Linked DNA regions of Tamandua tetradactyla. The protein of the gene in region 2 binds, or shares a complex with, the protein of the main gene of each other region. Links are inferred from orthologs where the notes say so. Each region holds a gene or a part of one and is shown on either strand. Other genes may lie near its edges. The genes, in order: EIF3F and EIF3I.

Region 1 (15,727 bases), on a different chromosome or scaffold from region 2:
ATGGCTCCAGACAGACAAGAACTTCAGCACTAGCACAGTATATAGGAAACAGATCTGAAGTAAACACTCTATAATACTAATCAGGAACAACAATGATGTTTACTAAGCACAGACTGCATGTTGTACTCTTGAAAATCATCTTATTTTAACTTCAGAGTAAAGAACTTGCCACAATACAGGATAAAACCAATTCTCTCTGAGCAAGGTCATAACACTGGCAGAAAAAAGATGTAGTGAAGTTGGGACCATCAACTACTATCTAACTACTATAAAACCTCAATCTACTAAAAGATGAGCATCTGAGAAATTAACTTGTTTTCATGACGTCACCCCTAAGAGGAAGATACAATGAAGAAAATAAATATTCTAGTATCTTCTCAGGAAAGAAGTGAAAACCATAAGAAAGTGACCAATGAAAATATGAATAATGTGACTGCACACCAAGTGAACTAATTAATAACTAATAGGGTTTGTCAGTTTGTGGGCAAGCAAGTCTCTCATCACTGAGGCACAGTGGAACACCACGTAGATTTTAGGGCTGGAGGTAAACATTAAAGGTCTGGAGGTACGAGCAGAGAAGAAGGGAGATGAAGGATTGGAGGGCAGGGAAACAGCAGTTCCTGTCAATGATCTATTCTCATTGCCTAGATCCAAGGTAATAGGCAAAAAGCAGAAAACACTTGCAGAGAATAATAAAAGTAAGACTTAGATGCTTCATTTAGAGATAACAAGATGTTTTACTTTCAAGAGACAGGCACTGCTAGGCCTTTCTACCCCCACAATCTCAAAAGGTCAGTAATCATTATACTGCTTGCCCTCTTTTACCCACCCAAGGATCCATCTCTGTTACAGATTTCCCCTGAAAAAACGAGGGTACAGGAAGGTGACTCACCTCCAATGCGTTCAGTGTCATAATATGCGTATCTCACTGTCAGAGGTGTGAACATCACCCCCATGGTCCTCCCAGGAACGCCCATTAAAGTGCTGGGGAGAGAGCAGGTAAAGGTCAACAGATAGCCTCGGGAAAGGGTTTCCATGTCTAGTCTGGGCTGGGAAAGGAGTTACAGCAAGTGTGGCCTCCAAGGTTCTCAGACAGGAAGGTTGGGACCATGTGAACTCGAGAGGTCTCACTGGAGCAAAAGTCACTTTCTCCCCTTACCTCATTCCATACATTAAACCCCTTAGCCTGTGAGAAGGGACTCAGCTTTCAACACGGCCTGATATCTTTTAAACCTGTACAATCTCTGCGAGGAGGAGGAAAGCACAAAGGATTTTGCCATGGAGATGACTATCTATACGCCCAACCTCATGGAAAGAAGAGACTCGGTCATGGCTTTTCTAGGACTGAGGACTGTTTATCAGTATCTTAACTTACATACTGAAAAAACATATTGATTCCTGCCCAGCAACACCAGATTGGGTGCTATAAGTAATCTCACTGAACAGGACTATCTTTACAAAGTTAACAATATATTTTCAACTGGATCTTGGAATCTAAAATATTTGGAAAAGATGAGAAAAGAAATCAGGCCATGGCCAGAGATTAGAGGTACAGCCAACTGGACCATAAGGACTTGGCAACCATCCTCTTTGTCTTACTGCATAGTAGCTGTCTATACCAGTGTCAGAAACAGAAACAGCACACTGTTAAACAGGGTAAGAGATGTACCAACAAATGCTTTCATTCTAACCAAAGATATGATCCTCCAAATTCTTTAGCATGGTACCAGCGCTTTTCTCAACATCCTCCACCAATAGGAGTTTTAACTGCAAGCTCAATGTGTCATCACTATAATGTTAATGTCACTCAATTCTGTGTTAATAGATATATTCAAAATAAGGACAATCTTTCTTAAATCTGTACTACTCTGAGTACTGTGTTCACTTCCAGGGTAAGGACAGATGAAAAGGTTAACTCAGGAAAGCCATGAATGTGGTGAAGGACCACAAAAAGAATATCATATGAGGACTGGCTGTAAGAATTGTGGCTATTTAGCTTTGAAATTGTAGATATTGGTTAACACTAATGCCTATTATTTGTTACCAGCTCTACTCTAGACTTTTACTAAATGACCTTGATTTTTCAGTCTCTAAACTTTTTCCCAAGAGAAACATGTTAGCTTCCTCAAATATCTAAAGGTCTGCCATTTGAAATTGGTTAACACTAATGAGTAGAAACCTAGGGTAGAACCGGGATCAGTGAATGGAAATTACAGGGAAAGATTTTGTTTCCAAGTGAAACTTTCCAATGATGATTACTGAGAGACAAAGAAAAGGCTTCTTCAGAAATCAGTGAGTTATGCACTGAAGGAATTAAACTTGGTTGGGGGGAGGCAACTGTTATCCATGCATGGTGTGGGAGCTAAGCTAGATAGCCTTTTATGCCCTTGTGGCCCAAGATTCTGTGGTCACCTGACATAGGCCTTGATGCTCATGCGGCCATTCTGGAGGCTCGTGTCCACAGTGAGGTGAATGGGGTTGGGGGCCTCCCGGCTGTAGTACTCATGAATCAGCACGGAGTGCTCTGTGATGTCATGGCCTGTAGCGTACCTGGAAAATGGAACATAATCACGGAGGTCAACAAATGGACTTAGGTCTAAACATGATATCAATTTCAAACTGGTGGTGGTGGTGGTGTCTCTGGGTACCTGATACCCTATGATAGCAACACTCTATACACTAAAAATAATAGTGCTATAAACGCTACTATTTTCTACTCACACTGAAAACTACACTGGATCAGAAACTGATTTAGAGCTTTTAAAAAATTCTGACTCTTTGGAAAGGCAACAAGACTTGCTCAGTAAAAGTTGTAATTCAAAGTGTTTTTGGTCGCACAAGATCAGAACTGCCAGCAAAACACACTGAATTTACAGTTCCTTGAGATGAGATATTCCAATACTGTGTCTCTAAAAGCAGAAGTATAATAATACCTAGTCTGATGGCAGGAGACCTTGGCAATTACCAGGAGACTTTCCATTTTCCCCTTTCCTGACTTACCAGCCCAGGATGAGCTCATTTGGAGAAACTTTCTTGTGTAATTCATACATGTTCTTAGCAAATTCCATGTCAACAGCCACCTAAGAAGGAAGAGAGGAAAGGAAGCTAAGATGCCAGAGGTCCTTAGAGAAAATGGATAAAAAGCACAAAAGGTCACCCTCAACAAAAATAAAGCCCTGGAAATAAACCCAAATGCAACAAAGCTTCTCGGGCTGTAGGAGTTCAAGTTATGAGCACAACATAGTATGCAGAAAGAGGCCTTACGGGGAATCCAGCAGATGAACAGCCAGAGACTGGGGGTGGGGGAAGATGGTCCCACTCAAAGTTCCACTCACCTCATCTTCTGACTCATTGTGTGGCACTGAAAAGCAATTGGTGACTTCCACAGAGTGTTTGTCTACAGTTCCTATGAAAGAAAGAATCATCCATGCATTATATAATCCCAAGGCTCCAAACAGTTTCCAACCACTCTGGAAATGCTTTCAGAGGTTTTTTTAGTAAATATCAAACTGAACTTGCTAGTTCCAAATTAAGCCATGGGTATCAGTGGAATCAGAATTCTTCAGAAAACTAAAATCCTGCAGTAACCTCCAACTCTTTCCTTTATCCACCACGAAATGGAATATATTTTTCTTCTACAAGGTCTCCTTTGCCTATTACTTTCTGTTACCAGCTCTACTCCAGACTTTTACTAAATGACCTTGATTTTTCAGTCTCCAAACTTTTCCCTGTAATTTCACCTACAGAGCTATCTGGGAGAATTTTATGGTGTGCATAAAACTATCCATACAGAAGCCCACTTCTATCCTAGTTCGCCTATATTTTCATTCTGTACTCTTACTCCAGGTCAGGCCCTGTCACCCATTTTTATAATAAAGTTTTATTGGAATGCAGCTATGCCCAATCGTTTATGTATTGTCTATGGCTGTTTTCCTACTCCAAAGGCAGAGCTGAATATTTTCAACAGAGACTTATTGCCCACAAAGCTTAAAATACTTACTGTCTGGCCTTTTACAGTACAAGTTTGTCCTGCAGTAGGTGATTTCAATCATTTTTATGGTTTCTATATCCCAATGACACAATTTCTGAAACTACATATTTACCCACATCTCTCTTTTACACTCCAGATCTACATATTAAACTTTTGACTTGACAGATGCACCTGGATACTTGATGAGCATTGCAAAAAGTTCCAAACTGAATCAACCCTTACATTTCCCCCCATCTCTTCCACACCCAATCAGAGACCTAGAAGTCATCCTTGAAACTTTCTTTTTAATCCCTCATTTCTGATTCATACCATGTCCTATCAACTCACTCACTCCTCTCCATCCCCACTTCCAAATTATTAAAATAGCTTCTATCTGGTGTCCACAAATAACCTATTTCTCTGTTATCCACTCTACAAACAGCAGGCAGAATCATCAATTCCTATTTAGTCTTAGCTGAAATGCCACAGTTAAGGTGTTCTTCCCCCACGTACCCCCAAACCTAATGAGGGTGCCATTTTGTCTTTCCATAATTTCCTAACCTTCTTCACAGCACTTTGCACACTTGTAATTATTTAATATCTCTTATGACTCTACACCTCACTAGCTTCATTTCCTGTCGTATATCTTTTCTTCTATATTCCTCTAATGCTGAACCACTCAGCTAGTGGAACTTTTTATACTTCCTGCATCTGCTTTAATGCCCAGCTCAAATGTCATCTTTTTTGTGATGCTTTCCCCAAACTTCCAAAATAGTTTTATGGACTTCCACGTCACTTTGAATACCTTTCTACTGGAACATTTATCAAATTATATTCTAATTACTTATATATAATCACATTATATTCTAATTACTTATATATAAGAGTATCTCCATCTCGTGTATAAGGTTTATTTTCTCAATTTTAAATTCTAAGTATCTAACAGTTTCTGGTATTTAAGAAGCATAGGTGACTTCATTTAACGAAATGAAATATGTTTCATGCATTATTTACAACCTACCTGAGAAAACCGTAAGTTTCTAGCAGGCAGAATCTATGCGTCAATTATCAATAAGCATTATTCCTGTAACACATAGTACTATACCTATAATCCCAGGTTGAAATAGGATCTGAGAATCTAGATTACAGCTGGTCTAATTAGGGTCACTGTAATATATGAGACACTAAGCATAAATCTTGGGTGGAGAACTATTCGCTATTGAGTTCTGAAAATTTTACAATATAGCTAAAAGAGTAAGTATCTGTCAAGTGTCAAGTCAGTGATGGAAAAATCATTTGTTATAGAGCAGGGTACAGTTCCAGAATGCTATGAGACTCAGTGGGATTACTACTGAGATGAGGGTGGGGTATAGGATGGAGGATTGATACTGGACATTTTCCCTAGGAACCTCGAAGATGGGTGGCACTCAAAATAAAGAAATATAAAAAAGAAAAAGAAAAAAGATGAGGCAGAACAGGGAAGACATTTGTGGCAAATAGAATGCAGAAGCTTAGATTAAGAAAAGTCATGGCAATGTTTGACAGGTAACGGATCAAGTAGTTCCTGTAAATACAATCGTTGTACCCTCAAAGAGAGAGAGAGAGAAAAAGAGAATGCGTATAGGCCTGACCAGGTAGAAGACAGTAACTAACTGCTGCTTCATATCTAATGTGTGCCAGCACTGTTAGGTGACTTCTGTAATAATTTAGTTCTCAGAAAGACTAAGTCTGAAGTAGCCACTGAAAAAAGCTAGGTAATTTTCCCCAAGGCACATGGCTAATATGTGGAGTCTAGTTATAAATTTTGTCCTATTTGTAATACACCAATTATCTTCTAGAGTGTAAGGACATGTCTAAGAGTAAGAAAAAGAAATGATCCATGAGATGGGGGTGTGGACACACAAAGATGTCTAAAACGCACAACTAGATGGAGTGGAAATGTATCTGAGGGGCCCAGAGAAAAGGATTTATTATTAACAATCCCTCTCTGCCCTTTGGTGCTTTTCGCTTCTTTAAAACTACTTTAAAGAAAAATACCTATTCCCCAAATAAAAGTGAAACATGGACAGGGAAAAGATTCTTCTTCAGTTTTAAGATTCAAGCCGAACATCCCACAAATAATAAAACTGTCTGTGTCCAAATGGAGGATTAAAGGCAGCACCGGGGATACAGGGTCTACCACTTCAGGAACTAGTATTATTGGAAATTTAGGAACACAGGATCAAGCTCAGAAGTTTAGGAAAGCAGAATAGTATAAAATCTTAAACGGATTCCAGCCAAATTGGTTAACTTGTTGGGACAGATCTCTTTTTAAAGACGTCCAGCTCTTTTGCCAACTCCTTTGTATACACCTAGAAGATAGAGACATTTACCGGAAGGCGGAAGAACGCGGTCACTACGCTCAGGGTTCTAGTTCCAAGCTAGCCGCTTCCTAGAATCGGCAACTGAACTCATTTCTGGTAGACTGGAGCTAATCAGACCTGAAGTGAAATACTGTTGGACAGTTAAAATGTAAGCCACCTGCCCCACAATATTTATTCAGTAAGTGATAACTACTCATTATTTGTCGCCCAAAGTGACAGCAAGCCGGCAGGAAAGAGAGTCAAACTCTCTGGGAAGATAAGTAGCAGAAAAAAGGTGGGTCGGAGAAGCAAAAGGTCAAGTCATTGTAGTGAGAAGAGGGGGAGGCAAGAGGCCAGGGAATGAAGAAGGCAGGACATCAGGGATAAAAGGGTTAATTGAGTGGGGGCGAGATAAATAGGCGGTGGTAGACAAGAGAAATTGAATTCAATCTCAATTTCCTCTCATCACTCACCCAGCAAGGTCCCGATAACTCGGGCCGCGCCCTCGTTGCGACGCTCGTAGCTGTCCACGATGGAGGCCAAAATGACCGGGTGCAGCCTGACCACGCGGCCGCCAGGGAAAGGCCCCGGGAGGGCCGGACCAGGCAACGCGGGCGCGGCAGTCTGCGCCGGGGCTTGCGTTGAGCCCGGGGTCTGCCCCGTGGCTGTGGTCGTAGCTGCTGCCGCCGCCGGATCGGATGATGGGGCCGGGACCGATGCTGGAGCTAGAGCCGGAGCCGCAGCGGGAGCCGAAGCTGCAGATGGGGTTGGTGCCGGGGTAGTAGCCGGCGCCGGAGGTGGAGTGGCAGGCGGAGAACTCCCGGGTGCAGCCGGCGTGGCCATCTTGTTGAGAAAAGAGACAGGAAAGGACTGCGTTGTAGAAAATTAGGACCTCGATAGGCTGAATATGGATCACGTGAGCGAGATCTTTGTGCCTATTGGCTCCTGATGCTGTCCACGAAGCACTAAAATTTCCTGGTGTTTATGATTTCTTCCGGAGTGCGTGCTCATTTGCTTTCCGTCCGATGCGCACGCGGTGAGAACTAAGCTAAATAGTTCCGAAGAAACTTGGGAGAGCGCTGGGTCAAGAGAAACAACTGAGTCTGCGTAGGTGTCGCCAGATGGCGCCAGAGCGCGACCGAATGCTCACCATTTGTATTTTCACGAATTTAAATGGAAAATGGGTATATAAGTGGCTTCATTCAAAATTCATGTGCCTAATATGAGGCAGGTGCTCTTTTATGCGCTTGGGCTATGTAAGTGAACAGAACAAAGATCCTTGTCCTTGAAGGGCTTACATTCGAGTGGGAAAAGACAATAAGTAAACCATATAATGTTAGAAGGTGACAAGTCCTGTGAAAGGAAAAAGTAGAGGAAGGTGAGGGCAAATCAGGATTGGAGAGGGCAGGGTAAATTATAATGAGAATATGAGATTCGAATGAAGACTTGAAGGAGGTGAGGGAGGTAACCAGTATCTAACGAAGGAGCCATCCAGGTAGAGGAAACAGCTGGGGCAAAGGCGGTAAGCAGGCGTGGGCAGGGCGTGTATAAGGAGGCCATTTGTTGTTAAGGTCATGGGGGACAGCCGCAGGAGGTGAACCTCTGAGCAGAGGGTAGAGGCAGATCATTAAGGACTTGGTGGGCCACAGTAAATACCTAGACTTTTAGTCTGAGTGTGGTGGGGAACCATGGCAGGGTTTTGAGCAAGGAAGGGTTATGCATGATCAGTCTTAGTTTTAGAAGGATCACTCTGGCTACTTCGATAAGGATATACTGAGGGAACAGAGGAAGGTGGGCGAGGAGGAGCAGGGAGACCTGTTTGGAGGCTACTAGGTAACTAGGCGATGATAGCGTCTGGGACTAGGGCAGTGTAAATGGCGAGATGTGGCCATCTTCTGCATATATTTTGAGGATGGAGGGTGGCTTCAACAGAATTTTCTGAGAAATTTTACGTGAGGTGTGAAAGTTTTTGTGCTGAGGAACTAGTAGGAAGAAGTCACCATCAGTTGAAATAGTGAGAGCTATGAATGGAGTAAAAATTAATCCTGAGTTCATTTTTGGATGTGTCACCGTTGAGATGTCCATTAGATGTCCAAGTCAACGCTTTGGGAGAAGATTAAATGAGATAATGCTTCATAAAGCTCTTAGCACATCCCTGATATACAGTACTTATTATTAGGGAGTTCCTGTTATCATTACTATATGATGGAAGGAGCTCTGATCCTTGCTGTGTGACTTTGGGAAATCTATGATTTTTTTCTGAGCCTTGGTTTCCTTCCTGGTATAATGGGAATAATAACATCTGCCTGAAAGGAATCCTATCACCTACCTTAATAAAGTTAGGGGAACTGGCAAGGTGAGTGGGTGAGGATGGACTTCTTAGTCCTGACTATTCTGGCCAGGACCTGCTTTCATCTTGGAGTTCCCTTTCAATATTAGGATTGCTACAATCCCCCGTCAGTGCTTTGGTTCTTTAATTCCCTCAAATACAGGTGGAACGGCTGGCCTCTGGTTCCGACAGTACTAAAATGTCGAAGATAAAGATGAAATAGAATGAAATAAAACCAGGCAAGCTTCCTCATAAAGTCACATTTTCGCTTTACTTAAACTTTGGAAAGGTTCTCTAGTTGTCCTTGTATACTTAGGTCTGCTGTCTGGTAAATTGCTGGGGCTCAACCTCCAAATACGCTTATTTAATTGGTGTGGACTAGACTAGTGACTAGATAAATGGTGCCTAAACTTTGTCTCTTATTACAGTCATCTGTGGAACTTGATAACCATACACAGGTCCAGGCTCTTACTCCAAGAGATTGGGCTCCTGTGGGCTATATAGCTCTCCAGGTGGTTCTGATATACATTGAATGTGAGATTCATTTGATAGAGGTAGGGGAAACTGTTAACGATGGTTCTCAAATTATAATATGCCTAAAATGCAAATTCTTATTCAGTAAGTCTGGGGTGGAACCCAAGTTTCTGCATTTCTAACACTCAGTACTTTGTACAGCAAGGAGTGTAGCCAAGGGGGAGATATTGCTGACCTTAACTATGGCAATTTCAGCTGTGATTTAGAAGAGTATGACTAGTTTGAAAGATATTTTGGAGGCAAGATTGACCGAATTTGATATCTGATTGAATAGAGAGAAGGAGTCAAAAGTTTCCGTGCCTGGGAGACATGGAAAATGATGGGGTCATTATCCTAAATGGGAAAAACGTGGGAAGAGTAGGTTTATTGGAGAAAATCCCTTCCTTCAGAAAATATTGACTTAGCACCCACTATATCAGGACTTAGACCAAAATTAGGGGTATATAGGTTAATTCCACATGGTTCTTGCCATCAAAGAGCTCCTACTTTAGCAGATAATGCAAGAATGAAGTTAATGTTGAACATTTAAGTTTGGAGATGACGTTGGGATGAAACTTCTGATGAAAATATTTGGGTGGAAACTGGTAATGTAGGATCAGAATTTAGGAGAAAGCAGTGTTGATGACATAGACTTGTACATGTGGCAGACTGTGTTTTCCAGAAATGATCACTACACTATTTGCAATGCCAGTTACTTTTCCAAATCTGAATACTCTTCCTTCTGAGAGGTGGTGTCTTTGTTCCCTTCCTGTTACTGGTTGAATTGCATCCTCCAAAAAGCTATGTTGAACTCCTATTCCCCAGTACCTCAAAATGTGACATTATCTAGAAATAAGGTCATTACAAATGGAATTAGGCAAGTTAAAATGCGGTGATATTGGAGTAGGGTGGGCCTTTAATTCTTATGACTGATGCATTTATAAGACAGACATACTACAGGGGGAATGGCATGTGACAACTGAGGCAGAGATTTAAGCCCATGAATTGCCAGCAAAGCACCAGAAGCCAGGAAGAGTTAAGGAAGGATTCTCCACCTCACATTTCAGACTTCTAGCCCCCAGAACTGTGAGGCAATACATTTTTCTTCTTTTAAGTCAACCAGTTTGTAGTACCTTGTTACAGTTGTTCTAAGAAACTAAGACACTTCTGTTGAATTTGGGCAGGGGCTTGTGACGGGTTTTCACCAAGAGAGTAAGGTGAAAGTGATTTTATATGACTCAAACTAGGTTTAAAAAAGGTTACAGCTTCCACCTGGTTTCCTCTCTTGGGACATTCGTTTTAGGAACTCAGTCACCATGCTGTGAGGAAGCCCAAGCCATATGAAGAGGCTTCCTGTAGGAGCTCTGGGTGACAGCACCAGCTGAGATGTTATCCAAGAGCCAGCATCAACCACCACAATTATGCCTGAGTGAGCCTTCCAATTCCCAGTCCCAGCTTGAAGCTGCCCCAGCAGATATGGATCAGAACAGAGACAAACGATCTCTGCTCAGCCTCCAAACTGTAGATTCATGAGCAAAATATATGTGTGTCATTGTTTTAAGCCACTAAGTTTGGGGATGACTTGTTGCACAGCCATACTATTTGAAGCAGTATGTCATCCGCTTAGAAATGAGTTAAAATCATGGAATTGGTAAGCCTTCCAAGAGGGAGATTCTAGGAGGAAAAGTAAAAGACTCCTAGAACATGCTAACATTTAAATAGCTAAGGAGAACCACTCCACACACACTAGGGTGATTATTAGTTTAAAACATGAAAAATAAGTGTGAGGATGTGGAGAAATTGGAACCTTTGTGCATTGCTGATGGGAATGCGCAGCCACCATGGAGGACAGTTTGGTGGTTCCTCAAAAGAGTTAAATTTAGATTTACTACATGACCTGGAAATTTCATTTCTTGGTATATACCCCAAAGCATTTAAAGCAGGTACTTAAACAGATACTTTACAGTAGTGTTCATGTAACATTATCTATGACAGGCAAAAGGTGGAAACAATGCAAGTGTCTATCCACAGATGAATGGATGAATAAAACGTTGTATACACATACAATGGAATATTATTTAGCCATAAAAGGAATTATCTATGGATACATGCTACAATATGGATGAACCATGAAAACATTATGCTAAGTGAAATAACTGAGACACAAAGGACAAATACTGAATGATTCCACTTCTATGGCATGTCAAGAATAAGCAAATTCATAGAGACAGAAAACAGATCAGAGGTTACCAGGGACTGGGTGGAGGGAGACTGGGGGGTTATTATTTAAAGGGTATGGAGTTTCTCTTTTGGGTGATGACAAAGTTTGGTAATGGATGATGACGATAGTAGCAAAATATTGTAAATATGATTAATGTCAATGAATTGTATACTTAAAAATAATTAAAATGGTTTGGGTTTAACAAACAAGTATGAGTGCTGAATCATTATACTGATGTTTCTTTTAGCCTCCAGTACCTTACAGCAGCTAAGAAATAAAAACCTAAAATTGTGGAATTAGTGGCCCATACCAAACTCCTAAATCTGTTCTACAACTAATTGCTGTGATGTACTTAGAAATTTATTGCTTTTATGAATGTATGTTAGTTAAAGAGAAGGAGGAGTATAAAAGTGAAGATAGGATTTAACAAATGAATATGAATCATTATATTGATATTTCTGTTGGTCTCCAGTGTCTTGGAGCAGCTAGAAGAAAAAATGAAAAATCGTGGAACTGTAACCCATACCAAACTTTATTTATTGCTTTTTGTATATATGTTATATTTCATAATAAAAATGATTAAAATGGAAAATTTTATGGTTTACTTATTACCCCAATAAAAACAAAAAGAGTTAAGGAAAGGCAAGGACTGTCTGAGAGATGATAGGAAAGATGAGAAATTAAGAGTCTCCCTGAAGTCAAGGGAAGGACAAGATTCAAGATGAAGCAGGTGTTCAACGAGGTCAACTATCAGAGGACTTGACTAGCGGCCCTTGGATTTGATGATCCAGAGGCTTTAGCAACACTGGTAGAGCAGTGTCAGTGAAATTAGGAGGTAGAGTGGGCACAGAAACCAGAATTCAGGTGTGAGAGAACAATCAGTTTGAAGTGAAGGTATTAACTGCAGGCTATTCTTTCAAGGAAGCTGCCTGGGAAGGAAAGGGGACATTTAAAGCAGTAGCCAGGGAAAAGGGAGTATTGAAAGGGGGGTAATTTAGGATGGAAGTGTTTTGAGTATATTTTAAATTGAGGTTAAGGATCTAGAGGAGAAAGACTGAGCATACGAGTGAGAGCGAGAAGAAACATCTAATGAAATAAGGCCAGAAGGAGGGCCTGGATCAAGAAACCTAAATGAGAGGGGTGGTCTTGCACAGGATGAGGGGCATGCTGGAAAAGCTGCCCTGGGCTGTGGCCCCCTTACAGGGTCAAATGGGGTCTGCCTGAGCCAAGGCTGATCTCCTGAGGTCAACCTATGGGAAGAAGGTCAGAGGAAAGAGCTACCCAAATGAGAAGGGATTGCTGCCCTAAACGGACCTTGCACAGCTCCTGTCCATGTGTTGCTCTGACTTGGATGTGGATACTTTACTTTCAAAAAGCTCAGCTTTGTCTTTATATGAATAACCTAAAGCCCTTTCTCTGGAAGGGAAGGAGAGGGGGATGGATGAAGAATAGGACAAATTTTGAATTGTGCAGAGCAGGAAGTTTCAGGAGCTCAGGTCAGATGACACCACTTACCCTTGGTAAGTGGAGCCATGGTAATCTGCTGAGCATGGCAATGCAGGGGCAGAGTTTAGACTTGAGTAGAATGGGCCATGTTGGGAAGAGGGCTTGAGAGTGAGCCATCAAGAGCTGTCAGAAGCACTGATCAATTATGGGAAGGCCCAGATGAGTCCAAGTTGTCTGAGATCCGACTGGCCAACCTTTGTGATTTTTTTTTTCTCTAGGCACAACAGCCTAGAGAGATTAGCCTAGGAGAGAGATTTTTCTTGTGGTCTTCCCAGGGAAGCTGATTGTTCAGGACAAGGGAATGCATACACACGAGATGCTCGCTTCGCAAAGGCTGACTGAGGGTTCCAGACAGGCTGCTGCACCCAGCAAAGAGAAACTCAGGCAGGGCCCTAGGTTCATCAGGGAAAGGGAAAAAGGTATGGGGAGGGAGAAAGTGGGCCATTCCCCTTGTAAATGGGAAGTGGCTTATGCAGGTATTATTCAGGGTTCCTGGCTGCTGTAGGGGATTTGCTCGATGGGCCTGCCTGAAAAAACCCAGGGTAACAACTACCAGGCTCCAACTAAAGGTGGGGCCTGTAGCTTGATAAATTCTTCTCACCTCCCCATCACTCACTCACTGAGGTGAAGGGAGCCCCAACTACAGCTCAAATTATAGGAGGACCACAAGGGGGGGGCCCCAGGCTCTCTAAACTTTTCAGCAAGTGAGACTTGGGACTAAGTTTCCCTCTTGCAGAGCTGGGCAGGAACCACATCTTAAAGCCCGCCCCTCCCCCCGCCCCCACCTCTTCTGAAGACTGTACCCAGCACAGGCAGGATGGAGGGCTCACTCCCAGAATTTTTCTCTGCCCACCACCAGCAGTTTTCAGGAAGCCATGAACCAAATACTTGGAGAATTTCTACTTCACTACAGAGGCAGGTTCCACTAGCCCTACTCCTCTCGTACACCACAGTTCAGCACAATTAAAGGCCCTGCCTGGAGGCACTTTCACACTGAGGTGATGAGAAGTGCTGTTGCACAGTCCAGCTTAACCTGACCTGTCTCTCTTTAGGCTCTTCAAGACCAGTCTCGTGCTTGCGCTGCTGGCTTGGGACTTCCTTCTCCTAGTTGGTTTACATCTAAATTCTTACACTTGCAGCTGGCCCTTCCTCACTCCCTGCTGTTTTGATGACTAGTGCAGCTTCCTTCTCTGATTTGCTAACTTCAGCCATCCAAGACTCTGCCTCTCCAGGCTCCCTAGCAGCAATGGGCCTGGCCAACTCCCTTGACTTTATGCCGAGGTAGGGTCTTGCCCCTTTGAGACGCTTTCCCAGTGAGGGAGCCAAGGACAATTGCATGCATGGAGGTGGTTCGACCTTTCTTCTCATTCCTGGAACCTGGTAGGTTGTGTACATGGTCCATAGTCATTAGTGATGTCTCTTTTGATACCCAATATCAATACTGGGGAATATTGGAGGATGGAGGGAATTTAGGACTCTTTCGCGTCACCTTTCCTCAACACAGGTGTATAGAATTGTACAAATTATACTTCTTGGTCCATGACACACTGCCTTCTTTGGTCAACTCATGAACTTCTTTTCATTCATTCATCCATTTATTTATTCATTCACTCATTCATTTAAAAAATAATATAATGAACAGAACCTGCTATCAAAACCAAGAATTAGAACACTATCAATAACTTACATCTAGTACTATGCTACAAAATGTTTAACAACCAGCTCTCTGAAGGGGAAGAAGGGGGTTGGCAGTCCTGGGTGTTAGTGTTTGCCAGTTTCCATAGTTGATTTCAAGCTACCAGTAGTTTAACCACTGGCTTTCAAAATTCCTGAAAATTTAACAATTGGAGTTGGCTCCTGCATCACTGCTTTACATTTACCTATGTCCTCCTTCAAATTTCACTGCCATACTGCTCACTCTCAGAAAAAACTACTCTTTGAATTTTGGGTTTATTATTTACTTGCTTAAAAATTATAGTTTTATTTCAAATATATATATATATATAATGTATAAAATTAAATTTAAAAATATATATACACATAGCTGGCTGTTTAATTCCATGCAATGGATTGGCTTAAACAAAGAGAATGTCTTGGCTCATGGTTTTAAGGCTTGAAGTCCAAAATCAAGGCGTCATCAAGGTGATGCTTTCCCCCAGAAGACTGTGGTGGTCTGGGGCTGGCTGCTGGGTCCTGGCCCTTGGCTTTTCTGTCATGTGGCGTGCACATGGTGGCCTCTCCTGGCTCCTCCTCCTTCCTGGTTCCAATGACTTCCAGCTTCTGGCTGCTCTGTGAGGCTTTCTCCTGTGATCCTACCTCTAAGGCTTTCATCAGTAGGATCCAGGTCCATCCTCACTGAGGTGGGCCACAACTTAACTGAAGCAGCCTCATGAAAAGGTCCTATTTACAATGGGCTCATACCCGCAGACTGGGATTAAATTTAAGAACCTGTTTTTCTGGGGTACATAGCTCCAAACTCCCACAGTCTGCCCTCTGAGCCTCCAAGAGTCATGCCAACTTTTGTTTCAAATATTGTGAAGCTATTTTATTAGGTTCTTCTATATACTTAAATTGTTGAAGTTTTGGATCTTTATAACTGTGTATTAAACATCTCTAACTCATGATGCTTTTTGTCTTAAAGTGAATTTTGATAATATAGCGCTACACTAGATTTCTTTTTTTTTTTTTTTTTTTTTTAAGGAAAGACAGAGAGAAGGAAGGAAGGATAGAAGGAAGGAAGGAAGGAAGAAAGGGAAACATTTTTAAACATTTTCTTGTTTTATTGTATTCTGTTTCTCCGTTTTTGTTACATGGGCTGGGGCCGGGAATCGAACCGAGGTCCTCCG
Region 2 (16,843 bases):
AGGGGCAGAGAATGGGGTATGGGGCAGAGACATGGCCCAGCTGAGCTCAGCTCCCTTAGCTAGGGCCCTACCTCTTGCCATCAGGATGGAAGGCAACACTGTTGATAGGTCCAAAGTGACCCTTGACTCTTCCAAACTCTTCTTCGAAGGCCAAGTGGAAGAATCTGGGGGAGAGAGGGTGAAGGGAAGGGACACACTTAATTCATTTTCCATCTCTTCTAAAACACAGTGCTCCTCAAATGCACACTATGTAACAAAAAGTAAAATGGGAAAATCAAGACAAGGGGAAATGTATGTGAACAAAATAAAATGAAACCAGGGGAAAACTAGACCCAAATGCCTGCCTGGATAACACTTACTGAGTGCTTACTATGTGTTAGGCAGTGCTCTAAGAGCATAGTAAGTACTCACCTGTTTATTTAATCTGTGTAATTTTATGAGGTAAGTATTAGTATTATCACTGCCCCCATTTTACAGACAAGGAAATCTGGGCACAGAGAATTATAATGATGTGTCTGCGGCCTCAGAGGAAAGCTGAGAGTTCATGCTCGAATCTGGTACATTATACACTTATTACAGAACAGCCACAGGTTTGGCTGCATTTCTTAGCAGCTAATGAAATAAGGGAAGTTTGTTCATTCATATGGTTTGTGTTAGGTTTCAATTTGAAAGCACTCCCTCTTCTCTTACCTGGCCTCAAACTTGCCAATCCTGGTGGAGGTTGTGGTTACATCCATGGCTTCCTGACCACCACCAAGTACCACCTGAAGGAAAGAAGAAACTGTAGATAGGCCCAAAGAAAGGGCAACTACGCCCTTTTACTGTTTATTTCCCTCCATCAGCTTTAACATCTCCCATGTCAAAGGACAGGAAGTGAACGGGACTAAGAGACACTCCAGCCACCTCCTGCCCACCTGCTACTCAATCCTTCAGCTCTGCCACTGCTCTGGGAACCTCTTCTGCCTGACACCAGTCCCCTCAGGGTTTGTAGCTTAACTGCCAGACAAATGTCTAGATCCAGGAAGTTTTCTGAAGCTTAAGCAAGATGTGTGGGTGGAGTTTCCTTACGTGGTCATAGTTGGGAGAGAGGGCAGCTGAGTTGACGGGACGTTCTGTCCGGAAAGTCTTCTGATGATCAAGGGTTGTGGAGTCAAAGAGCTGGAAAGAGAAGGCAGGGCAGAAATCTGGAAAAGGTGCCTTCTTGAGGGAAGTCAGGCAGGTTGGAGCTGTGCAGTAGGAGAGTGGGAGTAGCCCCCCAACCCCTTCCCCAGTCTCACCTTGGCTGTGTTGTCCTTGGATGCAGTGACAAACATGGTCATGTCCCTGGATAACTGGATGTCATTGATCTGCCGAGAGTGCTCCTTAACATTCACCAATACCTCTCCAGACTGGGGAAGGGGAAAAAGGGAGGTTCTAACCAGCCCCAACACTCACCTGCCCTGCTGTTCAGCCAAGGCTCTTTTATTCTACTTCTTGTCCCATCAAGGGGTGAGGGGGTCTGGGGTGACTGCCTACGTATCCCCTGAATCAATATTTACTCCCTCCGCCAGGGCAAGACTACATCTAGCATGGCCCACAAGTGTGAGTTTCACAAACACTGCTAGGACATCTATAAGTATCAGGGAAAACATATTCATGGTCACAAATCTATGGATCCATTAATGAACCATCATTACTTATAATGGTAGAGCAGTTTCCATTTATTCCTTCTTTCAACAAATATTTACTGAACAGCCACTATTTGCCAAGCACTGTGTCAAAGACTTAACAATACACCCCTTCAATTAATCCTCAAAGATCCCCTGAGGTGGGTATTACCATCCCAATTTTAAGAGAAAGAAACCAAGGTTCAGAGAAGAGGCATGACTTTCTGGAGACCACCCATTTAGAAAGAGGCAAGGAACCTAAGCTCATACCCCCTTCCCAGCCAAGGGCTCAGTCCTGGTCGCTCCACAGGGGACTGTTGTGTGTCCATCATTTCTAGGTTTCCTCAAAAGGCCATTTTACTTCCTGACTTCCCTTGCCACTAAACAACCTGCTAGACTGGGTAGTATAAAGAGCAGAGTTTTGGAATCAGCTGTACGGTCTTTGAAAGTACTTCTCTGCCACCTCTATCTCAAAAGAAGACCAATAAAACCCCACCTCCCAGGATACTGAAGCTGTGTCTTATTTGACTTTGTCGTGGCAGGCACCTGGCATATGCTCTGTAGACACTTTGAGGTCTACGAGGCCTGAGCACTGCACCTCACACATAGCAGGCCCTCACAAAAATTTCCTTTCCTTAACTATTTTTACCTATTTTGTGAGAAGAAGGTACTTTTGTCTCCTCAGACAATTTGGGTCACATGGTAGGGAGATACCATACTCCACATTTCAAGAAATGAACAAGAGCTTTGCAGTCAGTCCTATCAGGGGCACAGATCAGCTCCACTATTTCCTTCTTGTCTTTGTCCTTGGTTTCCCTAGCGTTCCTGAGGGTAGGCTTGCCTCCTCTTGGGCCACAATCAGTACTTGCTGAGAAACCTAAGTTATTATGTTCTGGGAGCTCCAGAAATTCAGGCATCCGAATCAGAAGCTACTTGTTTAAGAGTACATCTCCCCCTGGGGCAAAGATCATGTCTGATTCATATCTGTGAGCTTAAAGCCCTGCACAGAACCAGGCACTCAGTGGTGGCAGGAAAATGCTTATCTGTGATCATTACTAGTATGTTCTGAATACCCTGTGACAAATTATTTAAACACTTAATGTCATTTGATCTTTAAACAGGCTCAGGGAAGTAATGTAACTTGCCCCAGACCATGCAGCTAGAAAGTGGTAAAATCTATGTTTGAATCCAGCCCTTACTCTTAACCACTGCACTGTCCTTGCTTCTGTAAAGAATCATTCTGGTGGGCTCAAGCCCTACATGGCTCCTTACCTTGGCACTGTACTGGTTGAGCTCTCCGCTCTCGTGGCCTGCAATGATGCATTCCCCCAGGGGCCCCCAGACAGCACTGGTGATCTTGGAGTCGTTACAAGGGATCTTCATGTAGGGCTCATTGCTGTCTGTGTGGAGCAGCATATGTTAGGCCCTGGGCTGTGGACCCATACCTTCCATCTCAACCCCAGCCCTAGCTTCAGCTCTCACCGATCTGGCTCGGATCCCGTAGGTCAAAGAAGCTCACAAAGCACTGGTAGCCCATCTGCTTGTCCGTGGAGAACATGATAATGTTGCCCCCAAAGTCAAAGCCACAGGTCCGGACAGCTGAGTTGGTCTTGAGTAGGGCCAGCTGCTTCCCTGGGGATAGGCAATGTCTGGGTTACCACCTCCCCACTGCCATGGCCGGGAGTACATTTCCTATACCTGCTCCTCACTCCCATGGCTTCTTCTGCTCCAGTAACTCCAACCCAGACCTCTCCTCTTCCTCACTGTCACTTTGGCTAAAATCTTTTAACTTCTTCCCTGTAATCCCTCTTCAGATATCTAACTAATATGGCACGGCTCAGGGTGGATTTTTCAGACAGCATTCTTCCACAGCAAAGACCTGGTTTAACTTCTCTGCATGTCTCCAGTACCCATAAACCTGGTATATAATTGGGTGCCCAGTAAATATTTACTAAATAGAACAGCTTAATAGCCTTCCCTGTGTTCAGTCTCAGCCCTTCCAATGCATGCTCCCCACTGCTAACTGAACTAGCTAAAAGTATATGGACTACCATTTTCCACTGCTCAGAGACCTCTGAGGCTGCCAAGGCCTACAAAGCAAGGCTAAGCTCCTGAGTGTGGCCATCAAGTTCTGTTCTGGCCCTGGCCTACCTCAGCAGCCTCATCTTCTCCACTGTCCATCTATCTCACCCTCCAAGAAGCAGGAACTCCAGCCAAATCAGATGGCTCACCAAGTCTTATTTTTTGCATGTGCCAAAGTGACAACTTTTCTCATCCTCCAAGCCCCAGCTCATGACATTTACCTTAGGAAGCCTTTCCCAGCTGTTTCTATGTGACTCCAGGTAGTCAGTTGTCCCTGTCCTCCCACAGTACTCTATACTTCCTCTAACATGGCTTTTATCTTACAAGGATGTCTCTTTTCTCTTCTGCAGTTCTTATTTCCTCATCTATCTCTCATTGTTCCCTAGACTGGGAAAGTCTCTGGATTTATCTCCTTTTCCCCAGAATCTGTTCGCTTAAATGTTTGCTGAAAAAGTTAGCAACCAAGGCTTACCTGTTTCACAATCCCAGAGACGACAGCTATTGTCAGCAGAACCGGTAAGGACATGTTTGGTGTCCCCTGAAAAGAGTGTTAAGAAACATGGCCAAGTTCACCTGAACCCTTGTCGTTTACAATGCCAACTGAATCACATCCCTTTCAGCCTTTCTATTCCCGCCTACCCCAGAGAATTCTCACCTCCCCATTCAGACCTGGAACTTGTCCCAAATATTTTTCCAATCAGGGAAGAGGAAACAAGAGGGAGGATCCCCAAACCCCCCTTTAGCAGCCTTTCCATTGCTGGCAGAATGTGGGACCACAGAGTCAGAGCAAAACAAGGATACAATCAGCATCCACACACCACACAGCTCCAGTGTGGCCTGTGTAGGTGCCCAGCCTCTCACCGTTCACGGAATACCATACATTGACAATCTGGAGGAATCAAATGACAGGATACTACACATTCCAAGCAGAGCAGAACAATCTCCTATTTTGCCCCAGGAATCTCAGCAGCCTCTAGCCCAAGCCAGATTCTGCTCTCTCCTGCTCAACTCTTGGGAAATAGCAGGGAGCTAGTAAAAAGACTATGTCCTGTATTCTCCTCCCTTCAGGTAAGAAGCAGAGGTTCAGGAGGCTTGCAAAAGCATCCTTTTTTGCTACTGTCCCAGCCCTCCCCTTAGACTCTTGCCTTCCCCTTCCCAAACCCCTGGAAGAGTAAAAGTCCAAGCTAAGCTTCAAAGCAGAAAAACACTTGCTTTGGTGTTCTGTCCAAATAGGAGAGTTGGTGGGAGGGAAACTGGAGATTCAGTACCTGCTCTGCCACTATCTCACCGTACTATCTCAAATGTAGCCCTTCTCCCCTCTGAAATTGTTTTCCCATCTGTAAAATGCCTCCTTCAAAGGGTAGTTCAGAAGCTCCAGTAAAATGTCTAAGAAGTTTAAAATATAAATGACTGACATTAATTAAGCACTCACATACTCCAGGTAGTGTGCTAAGATCCTAAAGATAATCCCTTAAAAGATGTCCTATGATACCAATATTTTATACAAATGGAAACCTGAAGTTTAGAAAGGTCAAATGGCATGCTCAAAGCCACATTGCTAATAGATGGAGTCAAGATTCAAATCACGTCGGTTTGGCTTCAGAGCTCCCGCTTTTAAACACCATAGTTAACTTTCTCCGTATGGAGGTGTTTGGAAGAGTAGTACCATGTGGGACTGTTGGCACGCAGAGGGTGCAGGCTGGGGCAGAGAAGAACTGACTGAAATAGGAGTGAAAGAAAGAGGGATGACTAGGGACACCGCTATTAAATCCTGTTTCCCTCGTTACCCAAGGATCAACTTTTCCCTACTAGGGATAGTCTGTCCCTTATCCTGGTATAATGCTTCTGTTCTCTAAAACCCGAGCTGACCCTTGCTCCCCTCCCACAATTCTTGCTTCTCCAGCCCCTCCACTCACCGCCGGCTACACTCCTCCTTCCACCAACGATGAAGTTAATCTCCCATCTTCTCGGGCAGACTGCTCTCACCCACCTACGCCCGAGATAGTCTCTCCCTAATTCTCAGAACGATGCACTCTTTTGTTTCCCCACTCGCGGCAAAACTGGCTAGTCCACCCCACAGCCTTGGCCGAGTGGACTCGTCCCGTCACAGACCCCCTCCGCATGGTCCCGCCCGCCTTCCGAGCCACGCTCACAGGGTCCTTGGCCACGGTGAAGAGTAGGTCTCCCTCGCGGTTGTACTTGATCTGCGTAATGGACCGCTCATGGCCCTGCAGCAGGATCGGCTTCTGTGGAAACAGGACGGGAGTGTCAGGGCCCGCAATCGGGCCCCTGTCCCAGCCCGGGACGTCCACTCCAACAACCCCCCTTTAGGGGGGCTCACCATCACAGCGGCAACGCGAGAAAAGGAACAAAGTGAGCAGGACCGGAAGAGTTATAACGCCACTTCCGGACTATAGGTCTCCGCCCCTCCTTCCCGGAAGTAGAAGACAGAGGCGTTGCCATGGCGGCGTCTCTAGGTGGGTAGCTCGCTCCGTCCCTCCATTGACTTCCCGACTCCAACCGGAGTATATTTCCTACCCACCTCCACTGCCCAGTCCTTTCCCCTGCTATAACTCCGGGACCCAGGCCCCTGGACTGACGTCTCCGGCCTCCCCAGAGCTGACGTACCCGCCAGTCGCAACCGAGGCGTAGGAATGCGAGAAGGAAGGATGTGGCCAGGCTGGGCGGGGATAAGGGTGGGCCAGGAGAGGGCCGGGCCGGGATGGGAGGCCAAGGGAGGTCCAGGCCCGGCGGGCAGGCGGCCGGCCGGGGAGGGCAGAGCAGGGTGACTTGAACCTTCATCCAGGGCAGGTGCTGGCTCTGGTGCTGGTGGCTGCTCTGTGGGGTGGCACTCAGCCGCTGCTGAAGCGGGCCTCCGCCGGCCTGCAGCGGGTTCATGAACGCTCCTGGGCCCAGCAATTGCTGCAGGAGATGAAGACCCTCTTCCTCAATACTGAGGTATGTCCGTGAAGGGCCCCTCTCTCGGAAGTTGCGCTCAGAATGGTCTCTGGAGTCAGACAGGTCTGAGTCAAAATTACATGCTAGATGCATTTGTATGTGTCACTTGTCCTCTGTGAGCCTATATTTCATTATCTGTAAAATAGGGATAATAATAGTAACCACCTTACCAGGCAGTTGTGAGGATTAAGTGAGGTGAGGTACACAGAGCACTTAGCACTGAATCTAGTACATAAGAAGTACTCAGTCCGTGGCTGCCTTTGTTGTGATCTCTCCAACAGACCTTTCCAGAGGGAGGGCTTGGAGCTCAAATTGGCCCCCTGCAGGGAAGATGGGGAGGGGTATGGATCACTACTTCTGACTCCAAGGCTGCCAATCTAGGCTAGTGGGAAAGACCAAAACATGAACAAAACTACTTTTCAGGGCTAAAGATTATGAGAGAGGTACAGATAAAATGCTTTGTGTCTTCAGAAGTGGGAGGATGGGGCTAGAGGACTTGGAAGGCTTCCTGGAAGGGGTGAACAGTATGGAGAGGATGGGAACTAACAGAACTGAGGGAGAGGGCATTACAGGATAAAGGGATGGAGTTCAGTCAGTAACTGTTTCCCTCTTTGCCCTGAAAAAGTCCTTCTCAGTGGACTTTGTTGCTTCCGAGGCCCTTCTAACCACTTCTCCCTCTAAGAAAAGGCAAACAGATGCTAGAAGCTTAAAGTGAGAAGTGCTACTCAGCCTAGCAACCACACTGAATGCAACTTTCCCGTTTCCAGTACCTGAGGCCTTTTCTCCTCAACCAGTGTGGCTCCCTTCTTTACTACTTCACCTTGGCATCAACAGGTAGGTCTCTAGCTTGAGTCATTTTGGGGAGGGACCTTGAAATACTTTGTTTCCATCAGTGAGGGAGAGTCTACTCTCTCTGGTTCTCTCTTTGCCCCCTGTTCTCTGAGCAGTATGGCACAGTGGGCTGGTTATGTATATGCTGCCAGCATTACAGTTGGTTTGAAGCCTGGCCATCTTGAGCTGCTGCAGAGTAGAAAGGTTCATCTTGCTGTACCAAGTACTGGCTTTGACACTTTTACTTCCACTGTGTGCTACTGGAATGGCCTTGAGCAAGAGCCTTGGTTTTATATAGTCTGCTTGATAGCATGGTGACGATTCAAAGTCAATAAGGTATGAGAAGCATTTGGCACACAGTAGGAGCTCAATAAATATAAACTTGTTTAATTCCCATCATGACTGTGAAACAGACATGATTTTCTGCATTCAGGGGATGAGGTTACAAAATTTGGGGCAACTGATTTCATCTTTCTTAAGTCCCATAGCATAACAGTGCACATGGCTCTGAAGCCATATATTAATTTATAAGTTTATAGTCTTGAACTTTGCTATGAGAAGTTCCCTGCTGTGATTTCGCCTGTCCAGGAGTCTCATTCAAGCCTCTATGTGATTGAGGGAAGTCTTTGCTCCCTGTAGCTCTGGGGAACCCATCGAAGGCCATGGGAGGGCAAGGGGATAGCCAGCCTCTAGATCTGTCATCTAAGATTCAGCTAGAGTCACTCTGCTTTCATATGTTTTATATTTTCGGCTTCTCATAAGATTCCCTTTAAATAAAGTTTGAAAATCTCTGGCCTAATACACTCCCTGCTGTCCAAGAATGCTGAATCCTCTGGTGAGCTGACTGTGATTAACCATTTACCAAGTTGTGAGCAAATGGCAGTTTTATGATCCTGGAATCTTCATCACCTGCTCTACCTCCATCCTTTAACAACATACTTTCTAATACTCAGAACCGTGGTCATTACTAACGAAGCATCTCCATGGGCCAGGAACCATATGTTACTCTATTTCATTTACAACAACCCTACAAAGGAAATGATATCTTGCTATCACTATTTTACATGTGAGGAAACTGAGGCTCGGTATTTGAATGACCCAACCAGTATTACATAGGGAAACCTATGTCTGCCTCTCTCCAATGCCCTGGCTCTTCCATGGCACCCTGCTGTTCCTCTCCCCCAACTCCAGAGTCTAGCAAGCACAGTATGTCTTGTAAGGTATGCAAACTTAAGAAAGCAGCTCTAAGTAGGAGTGTTGGGGCAGTTTTATGGATGGATAATGCCAGCCACACCAGGGGCTGGACAGGGAATGAGGGCAGATGAGTTCCAAGTTCCTCTTCTCCCTAAAGCAGGTAAGGCCTAGAATGCCGGGCAGAAATGTAGTGAGAAGCCAACCTGAGTATCCTAGTCTGCCTAGTAATATGAGTCTTGTTGTAAAACAAGTAACTCAGCCTCTGATTTATCTACTAGTCTTTTTCGAGTTTGTTAATCAGGAATCAGTTCTTTGAAGCTTCAAAACTAAGAAACAGATCCTGGACTAAGATGAGGCCTACTTTCTGGGGCTGTCTTGAATAGGTACCTGGCCTTCCACTTGTAACACCTTTTTTGTCTTTTCTTCAACTCCATTAAGGCCCATGCGTGGGCTGAAACTGAAACAAAAGTGTGCTTCCCCAGGTGTTTTGATTTGTCCATATCCATACAGTTCAATAAGGACACAGGCTTTGGACTAAGGCATACCTTGGTTTAGCTTGGTTTAAATCCTCAATTTGCCTCAGTGTATATGACTTCTTTGAACTTTGTTTCCTTTCCCTATGCAAATTAGTGATAATCCTTTCCCTGCAGTGTGGTTGTAAGAATTAAGTGAGATAAGGCATACAGAGCACCCAGCATATAGTTTGAGCCTAATAAACGGTGGCTGTGTTTGGCCTTATTGCACTCATTCCACTGCATGCCTTGGACTTTGGGTATCTGTCTGTCTGCCATCAAACCAGGATGGTCCCAGACCTTGGGGATCAGGTCTTCATCTCAGAATCCTGAGGGAGCACTAAGCTTGGAGTCAGAAGATCTGGGTGAGTCCTATATTTTGCCGTGACTTCACCTAAAAAATGAAAGGCCGTCTTGATGAAATGAAACTGTTTTGTGCCTAGAAAGGCATTTTTTTACATCTCAGGGATTCTTCATTCTACCTACCCAGATCTGACACTAGCAGTGCCCGTGTGTAACTCTCTGGCCATTGTCTTCACGCTGATTGTCGGGAAGATCCTTGGAGAAGATATTGGTGGAAAACGTAAGTTGGGCCACTTGATTGCTGCAAGTAGCTATTTAGGCCTTGATATAACTGGGTTAGTTACTATCCAGAGCCTCTCTCCCATGGATGGGTGGGGAGAAGGCTTCCTCATCCTGCCCCTTCCTCTCGCTGTCCATCCTCCAGTTCTCTCATGCTTCCTTGTGGCCAACAGAGTTTCCTTCCCCTGGACAGTCTGGGTTAGAGTTAGAGATTGGGGGTGGGGAGTTGGAAGAAGACCCTACCTGAGCTCTGCCTTAAGCCCTGGACCAGCTTCTTTTGGCATGGCTGGGCTCAGGCCCTCTATTTCTGCCCCTTATCCCAGGAGCAGTCACAGGCATGGTGCTCACCGTGACAGGAATTACACTCTGCATCACAAGCTCAGTGAGCAAGACCCAGGGACAACTGACTACCCTTTGAGTGAGAAGAGCCCACCCTTCAGGTCTGCTGACTCCAGGAAGCTCCTAGGCCATGACATGCAGGGCAGTGAGCAAACGCATCTAGCACTTCCCCTCTCTGAACCTAAGCTTCCTCATCTTATATGGGGATAACACCTACCTCGTGGATCACAATAAGAGAACCTGAGTGAAAGGGTTTTGTAACCTTCAGGTGCTGTTCAGCTGCTGAGATTTAGCACAAGAAACTTCACCTTACCCTCAGCAACCTTTCTGGTCCAGCGTTCATCTCAGCCCCCAGCCTAGCCACCATTACTATGGCCTGATCTGGGCCATCACAGCAGTGGGCTCCATGAACCTCAGGACTCCACCTGCAGTCTTTGAGCCAGAAATGCAAACAGGAGGCCTCAAAGGCACAGAGTGACTTAGCTGACTGAAGGGGTGGAATTGAGGGGAAGAAGGTCCACCAGAAGTGGCAGGTTAGGGGAGACGAACTGTTGACCAACCTTACATGTCCCACCCATGAAGTGAGTGAGAATCCTCAAATACCCAGCCTCTTTCAAATGGGTAGACAACTGTGAGCCCTGGCACTGTCCAACTGCAGCACACAGCATAATACCTAGCGAGTAGTAGCCTTCAATAAATCTGTGGTAAACAGACAAAGGTTAGTATTATTTTATTGTGGAAGCCCACTTCCAAGTTTGTAACCTCTCCCTCAATCTCAGTCTGCTTTCCTTTCTCTGGCCAGAGAACCCCAAAAGGAAGTAGCCTCGCAGTCAGGACTGTTCTGCTCAGAGAAGAAGGGGAGACTGGGTTGTGGGCTTAAATGCAGAACAGTGGGGAAGGTTTGAGAAGGCCATGGGCTAACCTGTGAGCTAAGAGACAGGCTCCTTGGAAACAGGCTTCTGGAGGCTGAGGACAAAAGGTGGCTGCAGAGTACTGGTCCTCAGGTCCTGGTTGGAATTGCTGGTTTTCAAGATGATGGAGCAGGGACTGATGCTGCTCCAGCTCCAGGTGGAGCGTTTCCCAGGAACAGTGCCTCTTTCAGTATGTGTGCTGACCTCTGGAGATATATGGAATGGAACTCTTAGCATCCGCTGGCCAGCTCCAGCCCTCAGCAGGGAGTTCCTTGGCCCCAGGAAAGGAAGAGACTTTGAGAAATCAGGATCTGTCCCCTCATGTAACAAGTCGGACTCTGAGATGTTGGGAGAGTTATAAAGGGGAATAACTGTTCCTGGAGTCCAGGGCCCCCAGTTTCCAGCTCAAAACTCCTCCCATCCCAACATACTGCCTTGAACCGCAGCCCACCTGATCCAAGGGTCTCTCTGTCCAGGTGTGTTCTTCATCAGCTGCTTCCTGGGCCCCTGCTGTCTTTGTCCTTAGATGGGGAGCCTCAGAGACTTCCTTGTCTCCTAATAAGGAAGGCAGCATCAGCTGATGTCCAGGCTAAGGGGCCCCCAGCCTTCTTCCCCTTGACCTTCTGTGCCAACCCCTTCCCCTCCTCTGAGCCTTTCTTCACACTTCTCACTACCTCAAGATGGGAGGGATGTTTAGAGGAGGGTCTTTGGCCCACATCCCCATCCCTTCCAAATTTTGCCTGAAGTTTTAACCCTTTGAGTTAAGCATTTTCCTCTCCATGTGCTTCTTGTCATATGCCCCAAGTCCCTGTGAAGAGGCAAAGGACTGGATATGAAGATGGAGTCAGAGACAGTTCTGAGGTCAGAGTCAGCTGTCCCCAGGATGCCACCCCCATCAATCTCCCCCACAACAGCAGTGATTGTCCCATGTCACATCAGAGTATAGCTGAGAAGGGCCTGGGCCGGCCCCAGGGGCCCCTCACCTGATAGAAATGAGAGAGCAGGAAACTTGCTTCTTGGCTGCTGGGGCCTGGCATAGAAGGCAGATGGCTCAACTCGGCTCGGCTCCTTTGTAGAGGGTTGGGTAGCCTGTGCTCTGTGGCCACGAGCCTATAGAGGGACACTGGGCTTGGGCCATGGGTACTGGCTGTTCTTACCTTCCCTCTTACCCAATCTCGACCTCCTTCAAAGTGCCTCTGACACCTCTGGGAATTTGGGAGCAGTGATGCCTGCATCCTCCTTTCCTGCTCACTCTTCCCATCAGGCTACCATATTGAGAGGCAGAACAGCTGATGCCTGGCACTTAGAAATGCTGGAGGAAGCTGCCACCACCCGCCCATTTCTCCCTCCTGCTCACTGGCTCATTTTTTAGGAGGGCTCAGGCCTGGGATCAGATGTGGTGCCAATAAGCTTCCTTGGAGCCTGCCATTGCAGATATGCCAGTTTTTTCCTAGCATCCAGCCTGGCAAGAAGGAATTGGTCCAGCAACTCAGAGGCCTGAAGACCTTCATATGGCCTTGATGAGCTGGCTCTCAGACCAGATTCTCAGACACTCAATAACTGTTATCCTAAGTAACAATCACTTCACATTTTTGAGTTGGTTTCTTCCTCTGGAATATGGGGATAATCTGTTCCACAAGATTATTGAGAAGATGCAGTGATATAAAGTCAGAGCTTGAGCTGGAGGACTCAGCTAGTTGCTCCCCTTGTCCCACCCCCAGAGCCCCCACATCACCTACTTCCTGCCTGTGGCAAATAGACTTCAGGGCCTGGGAATGCCTGCAATGAAAGAAGAGGAAGACATGATTCTGAGAGCACACAGATCAGAGGCTGCCTTCCTCTGCTCCAACCTGGTACCCCTCAGCTTCATGCAGACATACCAGCAGCCCCTGGGCAGTGAGGGGTTGGGCACCAGCAGCTCCAGATAGGGCAGGGCCTTAAACTCATCCTCTCCAACAGCCACATAGTAACAGCCACTCACCAGAGCTTCCCCTGCTGACAGCGGGAACCCCTCCAAGGTGAAGAGTCTAGGAGAGAAAAGAGAGTGGGACAAGGGCCAGTGGACAAGATGCCTCATCATATTCAGCAGACTGAAGGGGTGGGTCCAGCTATTCCTAGGTACCCTCTGGGTGCTGGCCCTCTGGGCATCAAGGCCAGTCACCAAGGCTTGGCTCTGATTCCAAGGGCTAGGCCGGAGGGCTTTACCCTGGTGTAGAGGGAAGTGCCATTTGGGACAGCATGCTTTCCTTTTGCCATTTCATCCTCGGGGGACGGCCCAAACCTGTGAGGACGCTTCCCTGTGGGACCTTTGGACCTCCCCAGTCCCCATACTCACTTGCGTACAGCCCCACTGGGCAACTTGGCCTTTTCAGTCAGGTGCTTCAACACTATTTCCCAGTCCTGGCTGGCAGCCCAGGATAGCTTCAGGCTAAATGGGGGGCTTAACAGATCCCCATTCCTGAACACACTGAGACAAAAGCAGCCTGGTTAGGGGGGAGGGTCCCTAGGGTCTGTTTATCCATGGCCCCAGGACTCCCAGGGTATAAGAGGAAAAAGGATGGCACAGGGGCTAGGAGATCACTGCATTGGTCCATTTGCACCCATCAAGCATTTTGGACTTTTCACATTCCCACCCAGTGACCAGAGGCTCCTAGGGCAAACTCACCCCCATTTTCTTGGTCTTACTAAAACAAATATCCCTGCTCCCTGACCAGAGAACTCACTGGATATAGCAGGGGGCACCTGCAGGCAGCCACCTTCCAAGGGCCCCATCACACAGGTGGTGAGTCACTGGAGGACCCTGAAATCCAAGTCAGTTCCCAAGGTCAAGAGAGTTGGTGCCTCTCGTTAGGTGAATCAATCCAAGGTGGGTGGGTTGAAGGAGGAAGGAACCACACTGTGGTGGGGGGCGGGGGCTGGTAAGTAGGGATGAGGACTAGTCACACCTTTCACCAAAGGGTGCTTCTACTTCCCCTAAGTCAATTCACTTCCTACCCACCTCCATATTGAATGAATGGTCTTCTGTTTCTTTTGGGGACTACAGCCTGGGGATAAGGTAAAAGGCTTGGTAAGAAGCAAGGAATTCTGTCCCACAGGAAAGATAACAGCTGGCTCCAGAGTGGGCAAGGGAATGCCCACCAGGGAACTGGTCAGTCCTGCTGTTCCCAGGGCCCTGACTACCCTGACCAACTGGGGACAATCCCAGGAAGGGGGGGAAGACAGAGGAGCTGGGTGACAGCCTTCCTCAGAACTCACTGGTAGTCGGCTGCTCTTCCCACCTGGATCCTTCCCTCCAGGGGTTAAATAGCTGAAAGAACAGATAGGTCATAGGTCATCTTGGGGGTTCTGGGCCTCAATAGCCATGCAGCTGTTCAAGTGTGGGACTGGGACTCAAGACACCAGTATCCCTCCACACCAGTGGAATAGCCTCTGTCATCTCAGTCCAGAAACAGATGCTGGCATATGAACCTGTCTTCCTTGGGGCCCTGGTGAGGCTAGGAATCTAGACTGGAATCTTAGATACAAAGCATACAATCAAAGGGTTGAGAAAGACTCATAGACTTCTGCTATATCACAGGAATTTTCTTATTCATGAGGTAGGTGGTTTTATCCCCATTTTGGATGAGACACCAGTCACACAAGAAGTAGGTTACAGAGCCCAGATTCTAAGTCTTTCTAGCTCCCGACCCTTTGCTCTTTGCACTAAAGAAAGCAATTTCAGCTGAGAATGAAGAGTAGGACCTGGAAGCCAGATCTGAGTTGGAAGCTCACATGGTCAAATTCTTCCATTTTAAAAGGCACAGCCTGATCCTGCCATGATCCCAGCCTAAGAGGAGTGCAAGATGCCTGCGCACAGCAAGGAAGAGGTGACACCTACACCTAGAGTATTTGGTGGTGGTGGTAGCAGATCCCATCCAGAGTTTCTGGGAGAGTGGGCAGGGAAAACATTTCCTTCCCACAAATTGGTCCTGGCTGTCACAGGCATAAACATCAGTACTGGACAGATTTCAATTTGAACAAAAGCTCAATTATTTATTACTTGTGTACTCTTAGGTTACTTAACTTCATTGTCTTCCCTTCTAACTACTGAGGATAAAATCACTCTCTTTATGGGGTTGTATTAAATGTGAAAAATATATAAAATATCTGGTGCATACATAGTAAGTACTGAATAAATGCTATTGCTGCTATTTCCCTCCCTAGGCTATTTGTCTGACCAGCCCCACACCACTTACTTGAGCTTGCGGAATGGTTCAAAGCCAGCAGCCACATACCACCCTCCATTCTGCAGGTCTGCCAGGTCAGTGACGAGGTGGCCATGACAGGGTGTGTAGAGGGCACGCACAGCCAGTGGAGCCTGCACGGCCAACGTCACCTCACAGAGCAAGGCCTCCAGAGTGCGAAAGCGGCGCTGAGTCACCACCAGTTGGTGGCCTGCGTAGAAGGGGTCCCCATTCCTGTACACCACTACCTTCTTGGCCGCTGGACTGCTGCCCGCCATAGTGTATCCTCAGGCCGAGACGCGGAGCTGTTGTTGCCAGGGAACTAAGGCAAAGCTTGGAACTGTGCCAGTCAGAGGTGGAGTCTGCCCTTTTGCCCAGGAAGGAAGGGGGAGCCTCTGCAGGAGCATTTCAAAATTTCATCTGACTTGCCTTTGAAAAGGCCTCACAAGAGTCAGGTGGATATGATCACTATATACAGAAGAAACCCTGGAGCTCAGAGAGAGGTCCACAATCATACAGGGAGAGAGACAGTCAAGAGATCAAATTTACCTACAGATTTCCCAATACCTGAGGAAGAAGAGGCATCTCTAAAACCTCCCTGCCACTCCCAAGGACTGAGCTCAGAAGTGGATCAGCTTTGGCGGGTCTTCCTTGAGTGTGGTTAGGTCTGCTCTTGGACCATGACAGAAGATGAAAACAGCCAGGCTCAGAATAGAAGAAAAATCTTTATTCTCTTATCAGGCCCCACACTTTACTTCCCCCAGGTAACTCTGTCCTGAAAGTTGAATTGAACCACAGGCAGAGGAAGAAAGGGTGTCCTTCTATCTATTCTTCCCATATTGGTACCAGCTCTTTGCTCCAGCTTCTCTTGGCCTCATAACCACAGGCCAGGGACAGAGGTACCCAAGAGCTAGGATAAGGTCCTGTCTTATTCACTGCCCCTTCAATGGCAAGTGGTCCTCCCCTGACTCTCCAGGACCTAGCCCCAGGGTCCTGTTTTCCATGGCCTGTCCCTCCTGTGGTCCTCTCCTGTATGGTATGACCCTGTTGAAGACATATTCTCAGGTGGCCTTGATCTCCACTACAGTTGTCTGGTTTGTCCATCCTTCATAGCTAGGCTTATTGGAGTTTCCATCCATGGTGGTTCTATCACCGGGGGTCTGACCCTTGGGTGGCTTAGTTCTCCAGAAATCCAGCCTGCCATGCTCTGGTCCTGAGAAGGTCCCATCCCAGATAATGTGGTCCTCTGAGAGGCCCAACTCTCGTGGTCTACCTCTTTGGCTGTCAGGCCCTTTGTCCTCAACAATTGAATCCTCAGGACATGAAGGTGGCTGTGTCCTGGCCTTTGCAGAACAGAGTCCTGTGGGTTTGAAGCCTCCAGGGTCCTGGTCATTCAAGAATTTTGACAGCTGAAGGCAGTTCCCCCCGAAAGGCTGTCCTCTGTGGTCTGGCTCTTTGGTGAGCCTGTCCCCTGTGGCCTGACTGTCTGATGATATGGGCAGCTGTGGTCCAGGCTTCCTGTGGCATGGCTCTCTGTACTTGGCCCCAACAGTGCTTCTGTCTGT

What was found.
Region 1: EIF3I (region 2) and EIF3F share a complex: the UniProt entries of both Homo sapiens proteins name them as parts of the eukaryotic translation initiation factor 3 (eIF-3) complex. The link is inferred for Tamandua tetradactyla from reciprocal best matches to the Homo sapiens genes EIF3I and EIF3F.

The regions. Positions count from the first base shown.
Region 1 is NC_135334.1:82,114,378-82,130,104, reverse strand, and holds the start of EIF3F (eukaryotic translation initiation factor 3 subunit F), read right to left. Parts: upstream 7,192-15,727; 5' UTR 7,156-7,191; coding exon 6,786-7,155; intron 6,482-6,785; exon of another isoform or gene 6,402-6,481; intron 3,407-6,401; coding exon 3,336-3,406; intron 3,081-3,335; coding exon 3,001-3,080; intron 2,551-3,000; coding exon 2,413-2,550; intron 985-2,412; coding exon 893-984; intron 1-892. UniProt on the Homo sapiens protein: Component of the eukaryotic translation initiation factor 3 (eIF-3) complex, which is required for several steps in the initiation of protein synthesis.
Region 2 is NC_135328.1:193,657,465-193,674,307, forward strand, and holds the start of EIF3I (eukaryotic translation initiation factor 3 subunit I), read right to left. Parts: upstream 6,762-16,843; 5' UTR 6,627-6,761; coding exon 6,357-6,626; intron 5,975-6,356; coding exon 5,882-5,974; intron 4,618-5,881; coding exon 4,530-4,617; intron 4,267-4,529; coding exon 4,201-4,266; intron 3,279-4,200; coding exon 3,129-3,278; intron 3,047-3,128; coding exon 2,919-3,046; intron 1,389-2,918; coding exon 1,278-1,388; intron 1,159-1,277; coding exon 1,069-1,158; intron 765-1,068; coding exon 691-764; intron 332-690; exon of another isoform or gene 165-331; coding exon 72-164; exon of another isoform or gene 1-71. Other genes in the region: DCDC2B (doublecortin domain-containing protein 2B), read right to left, coding at 11,172-11,261, 11,507-11,610, 12,039-12,165, 12,630-12,834, 12,936-13,082, 13,391-13,522, 13,779-13,855, 14,311-14,362 and 1 more; IQCC (IQ domain-containing protein C), read right to left, coding at 16,340-16,843. UniProt on the Homo sapiens protein: Component of the eukaryotic translation initiation factor 3 (eIF-3) complex, which is required for several steps in the initiation of protein synthesis.